Oreochromis niloticus: one gene and its partners. The protein of the gene in region 1 purifies or fractionates together with the protein of each later gene. This does not show direct contact. Links are inferred from orthologs where the notes say so. Each region holds a gene or a part of one and is shown on either strand. Other genes may lie near its edges.

The links.
Region 2: the proteins of sf3b6 (region 1) and phf5a purify together in Homo sapiens (affinity purification with mass spectrometry; 4 studies listed by BioGRID and IntAct, with this or other methods). This does not show direct contact. The link is inferred for Oreochromis niloticus from reciprocal best matches to the Homo sapiens genes SF3B6 and PHF5A.
Region 3: the proteins of sf3b6 (region 1) and snrpb2 purify together in Homo sapiens (affinity purification with mass spectrometry; 4 studies listed by BioGRID and IntAct, with this or other methods). This does not show direct contact. The link is inferred for Oreochromis niloticus from reciprocal best matches to the Homo sapiens genes SF3B6 and SNRPB2.

The regions. Positions count from the first base shown.
Region 1 is NC_031980.2:1,150,757-1,157,853, reverse strand, and holds the start of sf3b6 (splicing factor 3B subunit 6), read left to right. Parts: upstream 1-4,089; 5' UTR 4,090-4,208; coding exon 4,209-4,238; intron 4,239-4,759; coding exon 4,760-4,878; intron 4,879-6,423; coding exon 6,424-6,562; intron 6,563-7,097.
Region 2 is NC_031973.2:22,533,149-22,539,433, forward strand, and holds phf5a (PHD finger-like domain-containing protein 5A), read right to left. Parts: upstream 1,917-6,285; 5' UTR 1,812-1,916; coding exon 1,760-1,811; intron 1,493-1,759; coding exon 1,469-1,492; intron 988-1,468; coding exon 821-987; intron 717-820; coding exon 627-716; 3' UTR 521-626; downstream 1-520.
Region 3 is NC_031971.2:41,376,920-41,384,344, reverse strand, and holds the start of snrpb2 (U2 small nuclear ribonucleoprotein B''), read left to right. Parts: upstream 1-4,405; 5' UTR 4,406-4,519; intron 4,520-4,521; exon of another isoform or gene 4,522-4,614; intron 4,615-4,711; exon of another isoform or gene 4,712-4,854; intron 4,855-4,943; 5' UTR 4,944-4,951; coding exon 4,952-5,015; intron 5,016-7,425. Other genes in the region: kif16ba (kinesin-like protein KIF16B), read right to left, coding at 891-937. UniProt on the Homo sapiens protein: Involved in pre-mRNA splicing as component of the spliceosome. Associated with sn-RNP U2, where it contributes to the binding of stem loop IV of U2 snRNA.

The sequences.
Region 1 (7,097 bases):
CCAAAGTAAATCTCCAAAAGTTGAATCTGTTCATCTGGACGTAGCGTTTTGTGGGAGAAACGTTTCGTCACTCATCCAAGTGATTTCTTCAGTCTCAGCTGACTGCAGGTTTCCCCAACCTTATAAACAGTACATTTGCATAATGACTGAAACCAGCCCACTGAAGGAACAATGGGCTGGGAGTGACGAAACGTTTCCCCCACAAAACGCTATGTCCAGATGAACAGAATCAACTTTTGGAGATTTACTTTCCTGGATGATTGAGAATGCATCAAGAAGCCAAAGTATTTGTTTTGTTAGTGCGGTATTCAAACGGTACATTTCCTTGTGATTTGAGTAGTCATCCTGCAAGGGGCAGAATATTTAAATAAGTCACACAAATGTGACCAACAAAGTCTGTTGCACGAAATCTAATACCTAAAAAAATCATATCTTGCGCCTGTTGTGGCTGTGATAGCTGCTAGAAGAAGTGTTGTTTTTAGAAGAGCGAGGTATCATCAGAACCAGTGTGTAATGGCCACATGGATGCATGGATGCTCAAAGCTGTGAGCACAGTGTCAAAACTCTGGCTTTGTCCGAAAGCTCTTCTTCTTCTTTTTTTTTCTTTTTTTTTAGCAAACATTAAAGTAATTTTCATTTGAACATTTAATCCAACAACCAAATAAGTGTGTGCAGCTGTGCTCATGCATGAATGAGTTAGTCTGTGAGCACAGTTATAGGCCCATGTGGTTCTATCTGTTGACTATTCTTGACTTCACTATTGGTGTAGAACCTAACGAAACGGAGACATCTCCCTTTGCAGCATTTTCTACAAGTTCCTGACACACACACACACACACACACACACACACACACACACACACGTACATATATCATTTGCAAACCCACTATTACTTACCCTTTATGTATGGCTCTTAACTGATAACCATGACCTCGTAGCTGTTTCTCACATCAATTTCTGGGGTCCACTCTCTTACTGTCAGTCAAGTTCATCATCCTTCCTGAGGGAATGAGCTGAACTGTTCAATCACAATCTTTCCCTCTATGAAACATTATTGTTCCCATTACCTGCAAGTTAGTACAACTTTGTGTTCCAATGGTCAGCTTGGTATTAAATGCAACAACTGCCTGGTAACAAGATAGTGATTTGAATGCAGTGTTGTGGAGCAGGGAAGCACCTAAAAACCTAAAACAAGAAGTCCCAATGACTATACTAAAAATCAGTAATTTTTAGTATATAAATCTCAAAAATCAGTAGACAGATTGGGGGAGCGTGACAGAGAAAGTGGTTATCCTAACAACATAATTCAATGTAGGTTAAAAAGCTTAAAGAATACTTTATGTCCTGTAGATTCTTCATAAATCTGACCCTAAATGTCCCTTTTCTTTACAATTCCAACCTTATTTTTACATGCTGTTCTCTTTTAAATTAAATGAATAAAACATCAGGATTAAAACGCCTTGTGGAGAATATAGATGCGAATTTTGTAGTCCATCTTCTGCATGTCGTAGTTTCAACACAGCGAATGTCCAGCGTGACTCAGAACATAAGATCGTTCCAATTCTCTTTTTTCTTCTAGCACCTATCCAGTGATCCTGAACACCGTTACAGGTTAGGAAAATGAGGGCTTTGGAGCGTGCTGTCACGGGGGTGGGCGTGGAAAGGATTTTGGCCTGATCCGCCATTTTCTGGGTCAAAACAAAGCGCAAGCGAAAAAAAGGAGCGAAGGCACACACAACAGCCATGGTTCGTACTTGCTGTGTGGTCGGCTGCAATCTTCGATCGCACGACCGGCAAGAGAATAAGGTTGAAAATGGTTTATCTTTTCATTCTTTCCCAACCTGGAAGCAACATGAGGCAGCTCGTGTATCGATGTTACCAAACGAAGACGTCTAGCCTGGATAGCAGCTGTGAGAGGAGCTGATATCCAGCTCTCTTCCATCTCCAAATATCTGTTGGTGCTCCACACATTTTCATTCCAGTAAGTTCTAAATATGTTCATATCACTCTTTATAGCCTATTAGTTTTATTTTCGATGAGCTCTGAGGTCATAGCAAATTAGAACAAACATCCTACTGAGTGATTTTGCAGAACTGTCTTCTATTTATAGAGTTTCTAATTATTTGGCATTATTACAGCAAACCAGCCTATGAAATGGATGAAACACATCGTGACTGGGTTCCAGCGCTACATAAGGGACCTGCTTCAAACACACCACCAATCAGATTACTTCTTCCATGTGAGGCTGAAGAGGTGACCCTTCAGGATAAGATGGTGAAGGTTTGCTGCGTTTGGTGAACAGTGTGGTAGTAAAACCAGGGAAAAATGAAACTTGCTCCTGTTAAATATTCTTAAGTCTTGTGCTGTATAAATAGGGGTAATTTTTCAGAAGATACAGTAAATTAAGTAGTGGGTGATATCATGTAAACACTGTCATGATTTTGTGTAAACATTTTGTCATTTATAAACTATAAATGTCATGGATTCTACATTGTAACTGATGTGATGTTCTACAAAATGGTTTTAATTAAAAAAAATTAAAAAAAGAGGCAAAAATTAGTTTGTTTCTTTATTCAACTTTTGAACAGTGGTACTCAGTCAGTACATATTCAGTAAATGCAAATTATTTACATGGCAGTGCACTACAGGCATAAATCTAGACCCCTAAATAAAACATTATGTGTCATTCCCACGACCCACAGCTTTACTGTGTTCCAGCAAAGTATCCAATAGCAGTGACAACTCCTCCACAGTAGCAGGTGGGATTTTTCTTTTTTGAGGACGGCTCCTTTTACCTTTCACTACAGATGGTCTGTTTATGTTTTGATCAAGAGCCTTTTTTTGGGCAGCTGAAGAGGAGAAGTCTATCTTATGGCCAACCTCTGGCTGTATCTTGGTCATATTACCAGGCAAAACCCAGTATGCAGGTTCATCTGTAACAGTCCTTGTGCCACAGATCCGCACTGTTGCTTCTACATTAAACAGAAGAGCAGTGACATGGGTGCAGGTCTCCGCAACTCCGGCCATACAGGTGCAGTGGGCGGCTTCAACCTTCCCTGTGATGCTCACAGTGACCCATGGCTGCAATGCTGGTTCATTCAGTCTCTGAGAGTGCAGCACCTGAAACACACACAAAGTTCATTTAAAGACAAGAACTATGAGCCAAGGCCGACACAAATGTGTTTTATTTACTTTATCATAAATGTAACAAAGTGTTTAGAAAGTTAGCACATACATGTAATTTTTCATTTTTTTTATGCATCCATCTATAAAACGCTGCATTTTATATTCTAAATCTGCCTGTTCTCTGTCAGAAACCTGCCTGCAGAAAATGAACCTAAAGGATGTAATGCAAGGATGTCATCACTTTAGAGATGGAGAAAGCATAAAGTGACAATTATGAATCACTTAATATGATAAGGAGATTCTGCAGGTCATTAATCAATGTATAAAACTAAAGATGTATTTTTAGTGACACAGGATACAAATATGGAAGCAAGATGTATAATTAGAATTATTTATAACAAATATGAATAAATTCTTGCAATTTCTTTAACCATAAAGAATAACTAAATCCTTCAGGACAACGTCACATCAATGCACTGAACTCACTGTATTATCCCTCTAACAGCCTCCACATGTTCTCACTGTAATTTCCCCTCATGAATGAATTTATGCTGCACTAATCTGAATGTTCGGAGGGAAATCAAACGCATTTCACTCGCAGTACTCGAGCAGACTTACCTTTGTTTGAATGACGACTTGTACGCGCTGACTCCACAGACAAGGTATGAAAATATGTCAGGCTACGTCAATAGCGGTTGGTCTTCAGGGTTTCTACTCCACGGCCGTATTTCATACGGGTCCACATTTCCAGTGCACGCGATTTCTGCAGGTACCGTCGCTTCGCCTCTGGACGCAATCGGTCTCCATACAGTCCATTCTCTTTTGAGCTGTTTTTAAGCATTTTTCTTGTCGTCGTCGTTCCAACACAGTGTGTTTGTTTGGATTCGTAGACCCGAAAATGGCGCCGCGCTCCCACGATGCATTGCGGCGTGACGTCAACTCCAAAGCTTGCGTTCAATCGGAAATCGGAAGTACGTCACCAATCAGCTTCCGTTGCCATTTTGACGAGAAGAGCCGAGAGCCTGGTGGGACTGCGTGTTTATCGTTCGTAGGTTTAATTTGAACAAAACAACCCGTCACAATGGCTATGCAAGCAGCAAAACGCGCTAATGTAAGTGTGAAAAAGTGGGACTGTGAATTTTGGGATAAATAGAGCTTCAAAAACATTAGCTCAGTTAGCTTCAAAGCTATCCTTAGCGTGTGTTAGCGTACGGTTAGCCGCTTAGCACGTTAGCAAAATGAAAACAACAACACTGTATAGTAACTTTTCTTGTTGGTGCTTTTTATGATGTCGCTCTTTAGCACACAGTTAAAGTCATCTTCTGTCTGAGATGATTGATGCTGTTCGGGCTGTGGTCGTTGGTTTAAATATCTGAGTTATATATGTAAGGGCAGCAGGGGGTTGACGGGGCCGGTGGGTAAAATAAAATAGGAAGCCATGAAGTTTGTCTGAAAATAAAACAGTTTACCACTGATTTAACCTAACTCCGACAAAGTTTGAGTTAAATGTCTACAAGCTACGTTTCCTCAGTAGCTTTGTGTTGAATACTCTTTGAATGCTCGTCGCTAGTTGTAACCTCAACAGTGTTTATTTACCCGAACTGTTTTATTGTTTTTTGTTTTGTGCTGTAGATCCGATTACCTCCTGAGGTGAACAGAATCCTGTATGTCCGGAATCTTCCTTATAAGATCACAGCAGAGGAAATGTATGATATCTTTGGGAAATATGGACCAATACGACAAATCAGAACGTAAGTGTTTCACTGTAGATTTTCAGAAATAGCAGTTGAAGTGCATGAAGAAGTGTGTGTGTGTGTGTGTTTGTTTGTGTGTGTGTGTGTGTGTGTGTGTGAGAGAGAGAGAGAGTGATGCTTTAAAAAAGTCATATTTTGGAGTTGGACTCCACGTTTATCTGTCTTTGTCTATTTTTGATCAATATCTATAAATGTTATTCAAGTCTCTCTATTATTTAAAGTGGACATAAAAACACTACATGTTCCTGCTACTTTAGTATACATTAGCTAACTAGTCACAGAACTGATAACGCCGTAAAAAACAAGTACATTAGTGTGTTCACAGTGAGAATAGACGGACCAAAACCCAAAAAAATAGCAGCCTCAGAGGAAGAGGTGCCATATTTTTTGAAACCCTAATTCCTTCTTTTGCTGTAAAAATGCTTTTTATAAATTAAATGGGGGTTTTATAATTCATTCGTAAAGAAATTACGCTATTTTGCAAAACAAATTGTCCTTCCTCATCTAATAGTTTTGTATTATGGAACACATTATTTGTTCAAAGTCTTATCTAAATTTGAATTTGATGGTAATTTTATTGAGTTAGAGCACTGACCGCAAAAAACCGCAACCTATGACCACCACGACTGAATTTCTGAAGCCTTTCCTCTAAACAGGTCCAGCAGACAGGGTTGCCCCTGTCTGCTGGACTCTTGTATTAGCCTGGAGCTTCTAGCTAAACTTTTTTTTAATATCTCCAGTTAAGATCTTTTCTTAAAGCCATTTGGTTAAAAACTGCTCCATGAAGGAAACTCTCCTTTCCTCCCTTTATCCCCAATCGGGATAAAGGGGGGAAATATTTAGCAAATGTAGCACGCTTTCTTAAAGTTGTGTTTTCAGCATGCAGGCAGTGGGCAAATTTAAGCGAATGTCCCTGGATCTGATGACAGTTCATTCCAGTAAAACCCCCACAACAAGTCAAAAACAGTATAAATCCAAAGATAGTCTGACCATAACCTCAAACAAGTAAATAACGGCTAAAATCACAGTGTTTTTTAAATTCAGTCAGCCTAAGGTTAGTGACGATGAGGTTGCTAAAAGTTCCACTGCTGATGAGAAGAAAGATGGTCCTGACCAGAGCTCTGACTCTGCCAGGGTTCTTCAAGAACATAAAACCCAACCAACCTGTGTGCACACTGTTATTTGCTTTTATGCAGACCTGTCCATGTGATTGTTCAGTGCAATGGCACCAGCTGCACATGCACGGCCCCAGAACTATAAGGTTACTATACTGGCATGTCCCAAAGGTTGTATAATCCCTGTCTTGCAGCGAGAGAGCTCCTGGATGTCCTGGCCAGTAAAGTAATAATTAAAAAAAAAAGTCCACTTTATTCAGCTCAGAGGAGTTATAACACTTAATAAACAAACCACCCTGTTGTCATGTGTATCCAATAATAACACAGAAAATAAGAGAGTGCTAAGAAAACAGGAAAATGCCCCACTGTTACTCACCATCAGGTGTAGGTCTTGTAATGATTTCCTGTGTCTGATGTTTTTTCATAGAGGGAACACGCCTGAAACAAGAGGAACAGCTTATGTCGTATATGAAGACATCTTTGATGCCAAGAACGCCTGTGACCACCTGTCAGGCTTCAATGTCTGCAATCGTTACCTCGTGGTCCTCTACTACAACGCAAACAGAGTACGTATGAGCATTACATCACTGCAGGCACAAAGGTCTTCCGGACCAAATGGTTCTTGGAGGTCCCTGAAAGTAACTCTGTTCCCTCAAGCTACATAGATAGCTTCAAGGCTTCTTAATCTTGCATTTGAGCCGACAGTATGACTGCTGACATGAACTAACAGCCAGCTGGTGATTGACACAGCAAAACATCCAATATGATGGTGATGAGAGCTGTGTCATTGCTTTCCTGATGATAGCAGAGCTAGAGTGAGAGGAACAGGGTAGCTGTAGCACTACCCCCCTCATTCACTTAAATGCATTTATGCTACATTGAGATGAAGCAGACGTGTTGTTGAGGCTGTAAATACAGCGGGTGAGGCTTTTTTTAACTTTGTTGTAATCCTTTGTTTTCAGTCTTCACTTTTTCAGTGTTTAGATGCCAAAGGCAGAAAATCAAGTGTAATTGTGCTTTAATGAGTCAGTATTTTGTTGTATTTCCTCAGTTACTGATAAACATGTATAAGGTCTTAAAGTTCCCCAAACTATCCCTGCA
Region 2 (6,285 bases), on another chromosome or scaffold:
GAAAGAGGTCAAGGGTTAAAGGGGGTTTCTTTTACTCGCCACCCATCTGTACCTTTTTAAATCATTACTAAAAACAGATCCTGACATTTTTTACACTGAAAATGTTATTTCATTTTGGCTCTTGCCCCTGTGTTCAGCAGTCCACAGAAAGTGGGAGTATTTATACCATTAATGGTAACAGCTCAGGTCTTTGTGTATAAAAAGCATCATGCATTGCCAGCTGGAAGAAGAAGCTAAGAGAAGAGAAGAGAACGAAGACACTGAGATTTAGCAAACACTGCCACTGACTCACTGCTGATGTTAAGAGGGAAAACGTCCTGAGCAGATTTTGTTAAGAGGAAAAACCTCAACAAGTAACAAGACAGACTTCACATCAAAATGGAATCAAAAGCTCAGAGTTGTTTAGTGAGCTTTAATTTAAAAAAAATCCTTTCCAGTGACACCTCTTCATTTCCCCATTTTTATGACGTGTTCACTGATTATTTAAAAATCTTGAACACCAACAAAGCAGTCATAGAAAAAAAGTATAAAATTGAGTTTTATTGACAAATCAAACAAAGGTTTTTTTGTGAGTTTTAAAGAAAATCTGAAAGACTAAACGTTGCACTGGGTCGTCGTGGTCGTGTTCACCTCTTCTTGAAGCCGTACTTCTTTCGTTCATAGAACAGATCTGTTTTGGAGCTGCCCAGGTTTACAATCTTAGGACATCCATCTCGCTGGAGAGAGAGAAAGAAATTTTTTATCTTAAAGAACAAGTCTCTTGGATATTTTGCTGCTTCAGTATCCAGTGTCAAAGTGAAGAGAGGAGCGGGAAACTCACATCTTTCTCCTGGATGGTGCATTCTTTGCAGTAGTAGGCGTCAGACACACCAGGCCCTCCACATATGACGCAGCGCCCCTGATAGGAGCCGTAGTTACACTCATCGCAAATACGCACCAGTGTGCACGGTCTCACGTAGGAATCACAGATGACACACTTTCCATCACCTGGACAGAGAAGAGAGGAAGAAGAAAGGTTTAAACTTATACTGGAGGAATTTGAGTTTAGAGTTGTTTGTGTATTTTGTTTTCTTTTGGACTAAATAGACAATAACAATAACAATTTACAGATATAGTGACTATGTTGACTGTAGAGTGTACAAATAAAACAACAGCAATAAAATTAATGATTAAAACTAGAGATTAACATCTATACTCTGGCTTATTTTCAAAAGCAGGGATTTAAAAGTCTGTAGTTTTAGAGATTTGAAAGAAACACAGGGTAAGTAAATATTACTGGTGTAATAAATTAAAAACACACACAGATTAAATCCTGATTGTTATGAACGTGGTTATAAAAATAAAATTAGCTGATTAAACTTGTAGTTAAATAAATGAAACAAAAATATGACATAAACAGACCTTAACACTAGTTTAAAACACATGCCGCTTGTTGTTCCAGATATTACTCACAGATAAAAACACTTACATTTCTCACAGAGTCTCCCGATAGCTGCGGGATAGAAACAAAACAAAGTGAGTCAATGTGACAGGAATTCACACAAAAAACAAACCCCACTTTCTTCTAGTTACGATACCCTTCTAGCCACCAGAGCCCACAGACCTGCAAACACTTCCAGGCTAACACATTTTCAATGAAATCCACGCCATGTTAGCATGGATGCTAACGCTATGACCTACGAAACAACAACAAGGGACTTCCGGCTGCAGCAAAATCCACTGTGCCGAATACTGAAACGTAAAATGAGTCCAAACTTACCAACACCAGCTTGTTTTCGACAGAAGATCAAATCTGGATGATGTTTAGCCATCTTAGGTTTACGTAAGTAAAGCGCTTCTCTTTCTTTTTCTTCTTCTTCTGCTGCTGCAGCTGGTTTTTCTTCTTCTTTGTCGTTTTTGGCGGTTGGCAAACAACGATGTGGTACATTACCGCCACCAACTGTCCACAAGTGTGGACCGGAATTCGCTCATATCAAATAATCGGAAAATAAATACAATAAATAAATACTACAGGATATATATATGTCCTCATATCCTTTCACACAAATGAGTTTGTTTTAGAAACTGAAATAAAGCCATAAAACTTTCACATCTAGAATTCCTTTGCAATAAATCCTTTATATCTAGCTTAATCCCCCCAGATTTTGAATCAGTTGTGTTCTTTCTTCCTGTAATTTTGATTTTGGTTTAATTTATTCCACGGCGATTACATTTCCCTGTTTGATGTTGCCCTATAATGAATAGCGTACTGTTTAATCCAGTGTGGCCAGATCTGAATCAAGATATTATTGTCTCCTCTCTCCTGGTCCTCCCTGTGCTTCTCATGTTTCTTGTTTTCCTTTGAATAGAATAAAACCATCTCCCTGTCCTCTCCTCCTCCCACAGCTTTTTGCCCTATTTCCCACATTATCTGTTTTATTGTGCTCTTCATTTCAGCGTTGCTAATACTGATATTTAAACTTGATCTCCTTTAGCAGCCTAATATTAATTTGATCTATTTGGATTTCTATTGTTTTCCAGGTTGCTGTCCATCCAAAGCTCTTTGACTCCTTTACCTCCTTCTGCCAACAAGGTTTAATTGTTTCCATTGTGGGGTGATCTTTTCATGGGAAAAAATTGAAGATATGACACACTGATGCAATGTGAAGTAGTCAGTGTACAGCTTGTATAACAGTGTAAATTTGCTGTCACCTCAAAATAACTCAACATACAGCCATTAACATCTGAACTGCTGGCAACAAAAGTGAGTACACACCTAGGTGAAAATGTCCAAACTGTCCCCAAAATATCAATATTTTGTGTGGCAACCATTATTTTCCAACACTGCCTTAAAGCGTTATGGCTTGCTAATCACCTGCATGTGCTCCAGAGCAGTGCATCTCGAGATGCTTGACGATTTCTCTCCAGATTCCTTCATCAACTCCTTACGTGCATTCATAGCCATCAGAGGTACAGTTCTCCGGATAAGATGCAATCAAGGCACAAACTATGTCGGCACAAGCAATGATTTACTGAAGAATTTAAAGAAATACATCAAGCAAAACTTTGAAAACTGGACCGCGAGTTTCTCATCAACACCCCAGCACGTAGTCATATGAGTGGTGTCTGGGAAAGACAAATTCGCATTCGCAAAGTGTACTCACATCAGTTCTTGAACAATGAGCCAAACAACTTGACAGCTCCTCTCTAAGGACATTCCTGTATGAAGTCATGGCAGTGATTAATAGCAGACCATTGGCTACTGACCAACTATGTCATACCTATGGTTGTCCCCACACCTAGGGACACCTTGCTGTCCTCTGCATACTGCTGCTATATGCCCATATCTCTGACCTTTGTAGCATCTAGAGAGGGAGGGATATATGGCCTATCTGTAAAACACATGCATCCTATTTTGACTTTTTCTGGAAGGGTAGGACCTTGAAACTTAAACATCACTGACAAGCTATCAACTCTTTCCCCATTGACTGTTCTTAATAGTCTTTTAACTCGACTCACTTCCAGACCTTGAATGCTCCGTTTTAGTTTTTCAGGATTCTCATCCACCGGAATCCCTGTTATGACCCTCTTGTTGTTTTATTCTCTCCTTCAGGCATCCTTTCTACTACATCTTTATACATATGTTCTCAATACGCATTATTATTTTTTTCCTCCTCCCTCTTACGTGCTATCAACAAGTTCCTGTCTCTTAGGATTCTTGCTTGTTGGACATCCCCTATCTTCTTTTTCAGTTCCCTCGATACTGCACTTGGACTTAACTGCATGTTCTCATCCTCCTTCCTAAACTTCAGTATTATTTTGAATTCCTCTCTTACTATCGTCTTCCGAACTACAGCACTCCCTTCATCTGAACTTCTGCTATCGCCCGTTTCTAATTTGGCATTCCAACCAAATTTTCATCCTCTCCCCACTTACTACCTCGTCCTCGTCCTTTCCTACCTACCTTATCATCCTCATCCTCTACCTGAGTTGACATTTCAGTCCTGTCACAAGCCAGCTTATGCCATCCGCTGTCCACCTTCTTGCCCAGCTGCTGAGCTCGGCAGCACCACCCGAGTCCTTGCTCCGGATCATAACATAGAAAATTGGGGGCAATTTGACCAGTTCAATTCAGTTATTCAAATAATCGCTAGCTGCAACAGTAAAGTGGTTTACATGTGAATGAATCAATAGGTATGAGTCCATGATCTAATATGCAGTCAGGGGAAAAAGAAAGTTCACCCTTACTGAAGCAGTCATGTGAATTCAGAAGGATGTTCTCTGTTTCGTCATCGTCAGGTTGTTTCTCAGTCGTTGTTTTTCCTGCTTTGTGCTTTTGTTTCAGTTACTGTTACTTCAGTTTACCACGGGCCCCGCTGTTCCCTGTGTGTTGTCAAGCCTCTGCCTGTGATGTTACCCGATTTTAGTTATTTCCTGTTTCATTTTGGCAACCTTTGTCTTGTGCGTTTGGTATTTCGTTTTACCTTCCCTGTCTTCTTTTCCTCATTAGATGCAGTTGTGTTTCCTGTTACCTGATGTGTTTATATTGTGTCAGTCTCCCCTTTGTCATGCCCTCCCTGGATGGTTGTGTTTTTCCTTATTTCACGTTTCCCTGAGATTTCTAGTTTTTGTTATTGTTTGCTCCTGATGAACTCCTTGTTTTTTGTCTTTCTGAAAGTTGAGCATTAAAGCTGTCCTTTGAGCTGATGTTCTGTCTCAAGTTGTGCGTTTGTGTCCACATCCTGCCTGGCACACAGACGAATTTTGACACTCAGACTATACGGGCTTCAGCTAGCATGTTAAAGTTTATGACAGTACAATTAGTGTCATGGTTGGCTGTGTGGCAGGCAGGCAGGCAGGAAAAAGGACCCAAAATGCAGGACTCTTGGAGACGGAACTTTAAACTCAAAGCGCAGCTTTATTGCTGGGAAAAACAAAACAAAACTTTGGACAGATGAACTAAGGACTGAAACACTGGAAGAGGAATTCTAAACAGGAGCATGAGCCAAAGAGCAGGTCCGGAGGCCGACCGCGCGGGAGGCAGTGGCGGCAGCGACAGAGCAGGTCCGGAGGCCGACTACGCGGGAGGCAGTGGCGGCGGCGGCGACAGAGCAGGTCCGGAGGCCGACCGCGCGGGAGGCAGTGGCGGCGGCGACAGAGCAGGTCCGGAGGCCAACCGCGGGGAAGGCTGCGGCGGCGACGAGGCAGGTCCAGAGGCCGACCGCGCGGGAGGCAGTGGCGGCGGCGACAGAGCAGGTCTGGAGGCCAACCGCGCGGGAGGCAATGGCGGCAGCGACAGAGCAGGAGGCAGTGGCAGCGGCGACAGAGCAGGTCCAGAGGCTGACCGCGCGGGACGCAGTGGCGGTAGCGACAGAGCAGGTCCGGAGGCCGACTGCGCGGGAGGCAGTGGCGGCGGCGGCGACAGAGCAGGTCTGGAGGCCGACCGCGCGGGAGGCAGTGGCGGCGGCGGCGACAGAGCAGGTCCGGAGGCCGACCGCGCGGGAGGCAGTGGCGGCGGCGGCGACAGAGCAGGAGGCAGTGGCGGCGGCGACAGAGCAGGTCCAGAGGCTGACCGCGCAGGACGCAGTGGCGGTGGCGACAGAGCAGGTCCGGAGGCCGACCGCGCGGGAGACAGTGGCGGCGGCGGCGACCTCGTTCAGGGGCCGCCCTTGACGGTGATGACGTCCAGCTAGAGGCCTGGAAAGTGGCTGGCAGAGGTGAGGTGATCCAGGGAGAGCTGGATCAGACGGTGGTGTAGCATCCGCAGGACCAGGCAAGGTCGGACCAGGCACGGCAGAGGCAGGACCAGGTGCGGCAGCATGGCAGCTGCGGAACCAGGCGCGGCAGCGTGGCAGCTGCGTAACCAGGTGGCAGCGTGGCAGCTGCGGAACCAGGCGGCAGCGTGGCAGCTGCGGAACCAGGCGTGGCAGCTGCGGAACCAGGCGGCAGCGTGGCAGCTGCGGAACCAGGCGTGGCAGCTGCGGAACCAGGCGGCAGCGTGGCAGCTGCGGAACCAGGCGGCAGCGTGGCAGCTGCGGGTGGTGGCGCTGCAGGTGATGGAGTGGAAGCCCCTGACGAAGGCACTGCAGGCAATGCAGGAGGTGGCAGATAGGATTCAGAGCCGTCAGCGGTCCTTAGCTGGCCGAATGAGCTCACTAGAGCTTCCAGCGTACTCATGTACACATTCAAAGTCCCAAATAAACATGTCCATCAAAACCTCATCAGGCAAGCTGCGATAATTTAATTCATTTTTAATTTGACTAACAAATGCTAAAATTAGGGCAATTTCATCAGTTTTCTTTTTAT
Region 3 (7,425 bases), on another chromosome or scaffold:
TCTGGGCCTCCGTACATTAGAGACGCCCTGTGTGTCTTTGTAATCTTTCAATGAGGAATCTGACAGGTGTGGATTTTTCTCACCCCACCCTGCTGCACCGCCCTTCAGCCCCACACAAAAATCATGCAAAGCTGCAGACTTAAAATATGAAGCTGGAACAATGACGGCCTGGCAGAGAGTCGATATCCGGGTTATTAAATCTGACTGAGGCAAAAATAAAATGTCAGCAGGCGGGCTGAGTCCTCACGGTCACAGCTACGACTAAAAACAGCCACCTGACATGAACCAAGCTGCTGTGGGAACTAAATAAAAATGATATCTATACTTTAGGAAAGAAGTAAAGCAACGCTGACCTAAAATATAAAAACATAGAGGAAACCTCTGTTTGGCCTCCAGTTTGATCAAATCTGTCAGCACAAACCTGCAGAGGAGGGTCTGCTCGTAATCCCCATAATCAGAATAACTCTGACTCATAACACAAAGAGTCAGGATCTAGGTTATCGTGTCCACCAAAGACGAATAAAACCAGCTGGAACAACAAACAAAGACAACAATAATCAAAACTGCACTTTGCTGAGATCTGTCTGACGTCCTGAGGAGGCTTCAGTGATCATAATACACCAAACTGGGACTCAAACATCAAAAACCTCCTGATACTCAGACTGTCCCCGGAATAAAACACAATCAAATGAAACCAGACCACATTTTAACCCTGACTTCAGAGACGGGGACGGCTGTGCTGTAGGTAGGGTAAACCTGGGGCCCCTGAGGGCCTCCCCCCGATCCCTGCAGACTTCTCAAGGTGAGCCCGCGGAAGTTCTCAGGTACACACAGGTGAGGCGATGATGTCAGCCGTGAACATGAACCGTGGTAAACTTAAAGTCACTCACCGCCTGTTCATGGGCCGGACCCGCACAGCCACCCGGACCGACGCCATGGCTCATCCCGCTGCTGTCCGCCGCTCCGCGGAGAGGAGCCGCTTTACGACCGCTATCAGCTAACAGGCGAGCGGATACACGGGGCAAAAGTCGCACAGATAAAAGCGGAGTGCGGAGAATGGTTCAAAGCGCACAGATGGGGGCGGAGGGGGGTCTCGGGAGGAGGTGGATGCTATCAGGGTCCGCTGACACCGAGTCGCTGTCCCGCTGCCTCAGACCTGCGGTCGCTGCTAGCTGTTAGCCTGCTAGCCGGCATCAGGTGGTAAAAAACATCGGGATGTATGGAAGCCAGGAGGGGACACACCTCCGGACGGACGGGAAATGATCCAGCATCCAGCGAGAAGAAATACAGGACAAGAGAGACTTTAATGTACATCTTTTAATAACTGGGGTCATATGTATCTATCTATCTCAGATAGATAGATACATATATATATGTACTCATAAAAAACAGACATTTGAGGTTTTATATGAAACAATAAGTATACAGGAAGCAAAATCTGATTAATAATAATTTTAGAACTAGATTTAGATCCAAACAAAAAATATCTGACAATTTTTTTAATTGACTGAAATTGAAAATGCAAAATTAAGAAAACTTCAGATTTTTTTTGCATTGTTTTTTTATCTGACTGAAAATAAGTGCTGCCCTGGAAGATGGAATAGTTTGGCCTGTGCAGACACCTCTGAGGGCTGTTTTTTTTATTTCTAACAATTTATTTCAGTGAGCACTTGGATGTCTCAGCTTTTGCTTTTCCTGTTGCATGCTGGGGCAGCAGGTTGAGGGTCACTGATGCCAACAGATGCCAATAAACTGATCACAAGGCCAGTGATGTTGTGGGGATGGAGCTGGGCTCCCTTAGGGTGGTGTCTGAGAGCCAGATGTTGTCCAAGATAGGGACAATGTTGGATAATACCTCCCACCCACTCCATGACGTGCTGGCTAGTCACAGGAGCAAGTTCAGTGAGAGACTGAGATTACCAAAAAGCACCAGTGAACGACACAGGAAATCATTCCTGCCTGTGTACAACTTCCTGTACAACTCCTCCATCTAACACACTGTAAAACAGTAAAATAGAATAGATTAGATTAGATTACATAAAACTTTATTAATCCCTCGGGTGGGTTCCTCCGGGAAATTCGGTTTCCAATAGCACTGCACCGACAGAAGTTACAGAATGTGAGCAGAAATATACCATATATACACATATATAAATACAGAGAATACAAAAGGATAAATAGAATAAATAGGAATAAGAATACAAGGGAATTGCACATTTCAAGTATTATGAGTCTATTGCACCGTTGGATATTAACACTTCACTGTGCAATACTTTCGTATTGCACAGTGAAGTGAAGAGGCACTACAGCTTAGTTGTCCCCCCCTCCTTTGTCACCCTGTCTCCCCTCCAGAGAGGAGTTAAACAGTCTGATGGCGTGTGGGACAAAGGAGTTTTTAAGTCTGTTGGTTCTTATCTTTGGAAGAAGCAACCTGTCACTGAACAGACTCTTCTGGTTGTTTATGGCCGTGTGCAGAGGATGCCCAGCATTGTCCATAATGTCCAGCAGTTTTTTTAGTGTCCTTTTCTCTGCCACTGACACCAGAGTGTCCAGCTTCATGCCGACCACAGAGCCAGCCTTCCTGATCAGTTTTTCCAGCCTGGATGATCCTTCTTTGCTGTGCTGCTCCCCCAGCACACCACAGCATAGAAAAGTACTCCTGCAACCACTGACTGGTAAAACATCCTCAGGGGCTTCCTGCAGATGTTAAAAGACCTCAGCCTCCTGAGGAAGTACAGTCGGCTTTGGCCTTTTTTATACAGGTGCTCTGTGTTGCATGACCAGTCCAGTTTGTTGTCCACCCACAGCCCGAGGTACTTGAAATAGAAAATGTTCACAGGTTAGAGTCAAATGTCAACCATATATATTCCACCCCTCTAATATTCTCACCTCTGTAATATTCTTGATATCTAAATTGAGCTATTTGTATACATTAGTGCTATTTCTTATATAATGCAGTGAATATGGGGCTGCATTACATCCTGCAACACCTCGACCGCCCGGGAACTTATGCCAGGGTCCTGTTTGTGGACTTTAGTTCGGCTTTTAACACCATCGTGCCTGAACTTCTCTCTTCCAAACTCTCCCAGCTCAGCGTGTCACCAGCTACCTGTCAGTGGATCACCAGCTTCCTGACAGACAGAAAGCAACAAGTGAGGCTGGGGGAGATCACCTCTGAAACTCGGTCCCTCAGTATTGGTGCCCCTCAAGGATGTGTCCTCTCACCACTACTGTTCTCCCTCTACACTAATGCCTGCACCTCCAAGAACTCGGCTGTTAAACTCCTAAAGTTTGCAGATGACACCACCGTCATTGGCCTCATTCAGGATGGTGATGAGTCTGCATACCGACAGGAAGTTGAGCAGCTGGTACTCTGGTGCAGTCAGCACAATCTGGAGCTGAACACTCTTAAAACTGTAGAGATGACAGTGGACTTCAGGAGACATCCCTCAACTCTGCCCCCCCTCACCATATCAGTCAGCCCGGTGTCCACTGTGGAGATTTTCAAGTTCCTGGGTACCACCATCTCCCAGGACCTGAAGTGGGAGACCAACATCAACGCCATCCTCAGAAAGACCCAGCAGAGGATGTACTTCCTGAGACAACTGGGGAAGTACAGTCTTCCACAGGAGCTGCTGATCCAGTTCTACACTGCAGTCATTGAGTCTGTCCTGTGCTCCTCCATCACAGTCTGTTAAGGTGCAGCCACCAAACAGGACAGGAGCAGACTGCAGCGGACTGTACGGGCAGCAGAAAGGATCATCGGCGCCCCCCTGCCCTCCATCCAGGATCTGTACCTCTCAAGAACCAGGAAACGGGCAGGAATCATCACAGACCCCTCACACCCTGGACACAGACTCTTTGACCTGCTGCCCTCTGGCAGACGGTACAGAAGCCACAGGAACACTTTCTTTCCCCTCGCCATCTCCCTCCTAAACAGTTGACCTGTCACACTGCTCCCACTGCCAGACTGCACCTGCTCCTTATGTACATTCTGTAGTATTCATTCCACCTCATTTCATTTCTGTCATCCTGTATTCTATGTATATAAGTTTAGATTGTTTATTTATAGTTGGTTTATACAGCTTTGTGTATGTATATGTATGCATGTTTAATGTATATATAGACACGTGTGTGTGTGTGTGTGTGTGTGTGTGTGTTTTACATTGTTGTACTTGAGAGTCACCATCTACCGGAACCAAATTCCTTGTATGTGTCTGCGCATGGCCAATAAACACGATTCTGATTCTGATTCTGAGTTGTAAACTCTGTAACATGTATTATTTAAATAGTTTAGTCTGTTACTGCAACTGTGACCCACGTAATTTCCTTAGGGATTAATAAAGTATTCTGATTCTGATTTTAGTTTAGATTTAATGAATTGTAATAAGCTCACAGGTAGCTGCAGTTCTCCTCCTGGCCTCCTGGTGGCGGCGGAGGGCAGAGGTCGTTAAAGCTTCAGCCGGCGCCACAGCGGAGTGTTTCCGGAAACTTCATGAGCGGTGTGAGCCGAGAGGAGGTGAGTTCCATATTTATGTTAAAAACGTTTATCCGAGGCTCCTCTCACCGCGGTTTAACAAAGGAGCTGCGCGGGCGGAGGTTAAATCTGTAAAGGTGATTTTTGACGTTAAAGCGACGCCGGAAAAAAACATTTAGTTTAAAGGCTAGCTGGGCTAAGCTAACACATGCTAACATTAGCTGAGTGAGGGAGGTTTCTGGGAACCTTTGAATGAATTCAAGCTGAAGCTTTTGATTTAGCCAAAGCTCCTTAAACAGCGAGTTTTCAAGTGTAACTTAAACGATTTGTTTCTGCTCTGGTTGTGTGAGTTTACCGAGACATTAGCAGGAACGTGGGTAAGCTCGGGTGTTAAACGGGTAAACGAGGCTTAGAGGTGGAGTTGAACACTGAAGAAGCTGAAGCTGCTCTCCTGTTGTCTCCTCAGACTCCACCATGGACATCAGACCGAACCACACCATCTACATCAACAACATCAACGATAAAATCAAGAAGGAAGGTGGGTGCTGTTCCTCTGCATGGCTGACAGCAGCGAGTTTCTTCGGCATTAGAGACTGCTGTGCTGACGATCACAACGCTGACTTCACCTGAATAATCGAATTTTAACAATCAGTGGAAGTTGAAATGTGACTGAAATTAAAGTTGGATTAATTTTCTTTTTGTTTAACTGGGAAAAAGAGACACTTGAGATTTAAATAGCGTGTTTGAAGAGAATAGACGGGGCTCTAGAGTGCGACCAATTTGGTCGCAAATGCGTAAACACAGAGCGGACCGACGCATCAGAATCAGCTTTGTCTTTCTCGGCTTTCTTACCCCACGGCCCGAACACGGACACGCTGTCGGAGCTCAGCGATTCTGATGCGTCGGGTCTGCGCTGTGTTTCCGTCTTATTTGCGCTGATTCTGAGCTGCAGGTTTTGTCTCTCCAACCAAAATTCGCCGAGCCAGCAGCAAAAGAAGCAGCAAACTACGCTTCACATGTGATCAATGTCGTCATGAATTCCCTCTGACTTTTGCTGTTTTGCTTCCACCACGATAAAAATCACACTTCATGCACAGCTCCCTCTCTCTCTCTCTCTCTCTCTCTCTCTGTACATCAAGATCAGTTTCCCGTCTCAAATCTCTGTTTTCTGCATTATTCATTGGCTTATTACCCACCAGTCTACCGTTGTTTACAGCGCTGTCGGCCGCTGTCTTTTTCTTTTCTTTTTCTTTTTTCCACTTAAATGACCTCGGACAAGAAAGCCTAATTTCTGCTGTTCAATACTGAAGAAATTTAAACTTCTTAAAATTATGCAAAATTGCAGAATATTTTTAAGGTTATCTGCTATAAAACGCCAGACCAGGAAAATCTCCTTCATGTTTTTCTGTTTTATTCTCAGTTACTTTGACACAAAGGCATCTGCTGTGATGTTCACATCTCTGATGAAGTCTCATGTGTATCAGTGCTGATAAATGACCAGAATTATGATATTTCTGACTGTCTGAGGCTAAATTGAATCGAATCAGGACTTTGAGAACCGGAATCGAATGGATTATAGAAATCAGTGATGATACCCAGCCCTAGTGAGCAGCCTAGGCCTGACAGAAGTGGATGTAGCTGTGGGGAATAAGAAAAGATGAAAAGAACTATTGATAACTTTTGTGTTAAGTTAAGGACTGATCCGTCTGAAATTCATAGCCAGCTCTGACACGGTGCCATCAATCTTTGAATGCTGAAAAAGCAGCAGTGTATCCAGAAAACACATTATATGCTGCAATAAATGCACTGCCCAAGTGTCCCCTCTCCTCACTGCCTTTCAGCAGCAGGCAGCAGCAAACAGGTCGTCAGAGGAGCCGAGATGATGATTAAGTTTAACATTTTCTACAATATTGACAAAGCACTTTAAGCACAAGTTTGTTAGTTAATAATTTAGAAATGAATATTGTCTGTATGGACTTCCCCCCCAAAGAAAGTGCACATGTAAAACTGCGGTGTTAAGCGATGCGGTTGAAAAATTTGAGTGCGCCTAACTTTTTGGCACAAAGTTAGTCTAGAGCCCTGATAGAAGCAGTAGCTGAATAACAGCCCAACACACAATGGACACATTAAACACTGCAAAGGCTGGAAGAAAAAAAACTAAGCATTAAGTTAATGACGCACTCTGATTATAATCCATCAGACTGCTCCGTGTTTTAATGAGAGAGCTGTGGTATTGATTTAACCGTTAGCTCACACATTGGGCATTTTACCGGCTTTCTTTCCAACAGTTTCAGCAACAGTTGCCTCAAGATGCTTAGACAGGACAGAGTAGCTACGGCCCACTTTACCCTAACTTTGTAATTACATCTTTACAGCTTACCATGGATTCTTTAAGACTGCCTCAAATTCCTTCCTACTACTTACTAAACTTTAATGATATCGTCGCTCTTTTCTACTTTCAGTCTTTATTACGAGTAGTTTCACCTTTCATTGAATAGTCATCTTATCTGCTGCCAGTACACTTATCAGTAACTGTGATTGGTCAGATGCTGCTGGCACCGTCCTGTTCAGAGGAAATCTGGGACAATACCTTAGTAGTAGCGTTGTAGTGCCGGGGTCAGGATAAGTCATCGTCTCTGTGAAAACTTCAGTTCAGCAAACAGAAACCTGAGGAGCAAAGAGCCGAACCTCCCAGAACCCCTGATAGACGGAGGTCTGTAGTGTGTGTGTGTGTGCGTGTGTGTGTGTGTGCGCGCTGTTTGAGTGTAGAGAAATGGAACAAGCGCAGGAAAAACAAAAACAAACATTATGTATGTACTGCTGAGTTTATTGCAGGAGACGAGGAGCCTTTTTTCTGCAGGCTTCACTCTGATCTTTGTTTCAAAACATGTTTTAATCATTTTCCGTATAAAGCTTTTGACAAAAACTGTCAAATGAATTCCTCGTTT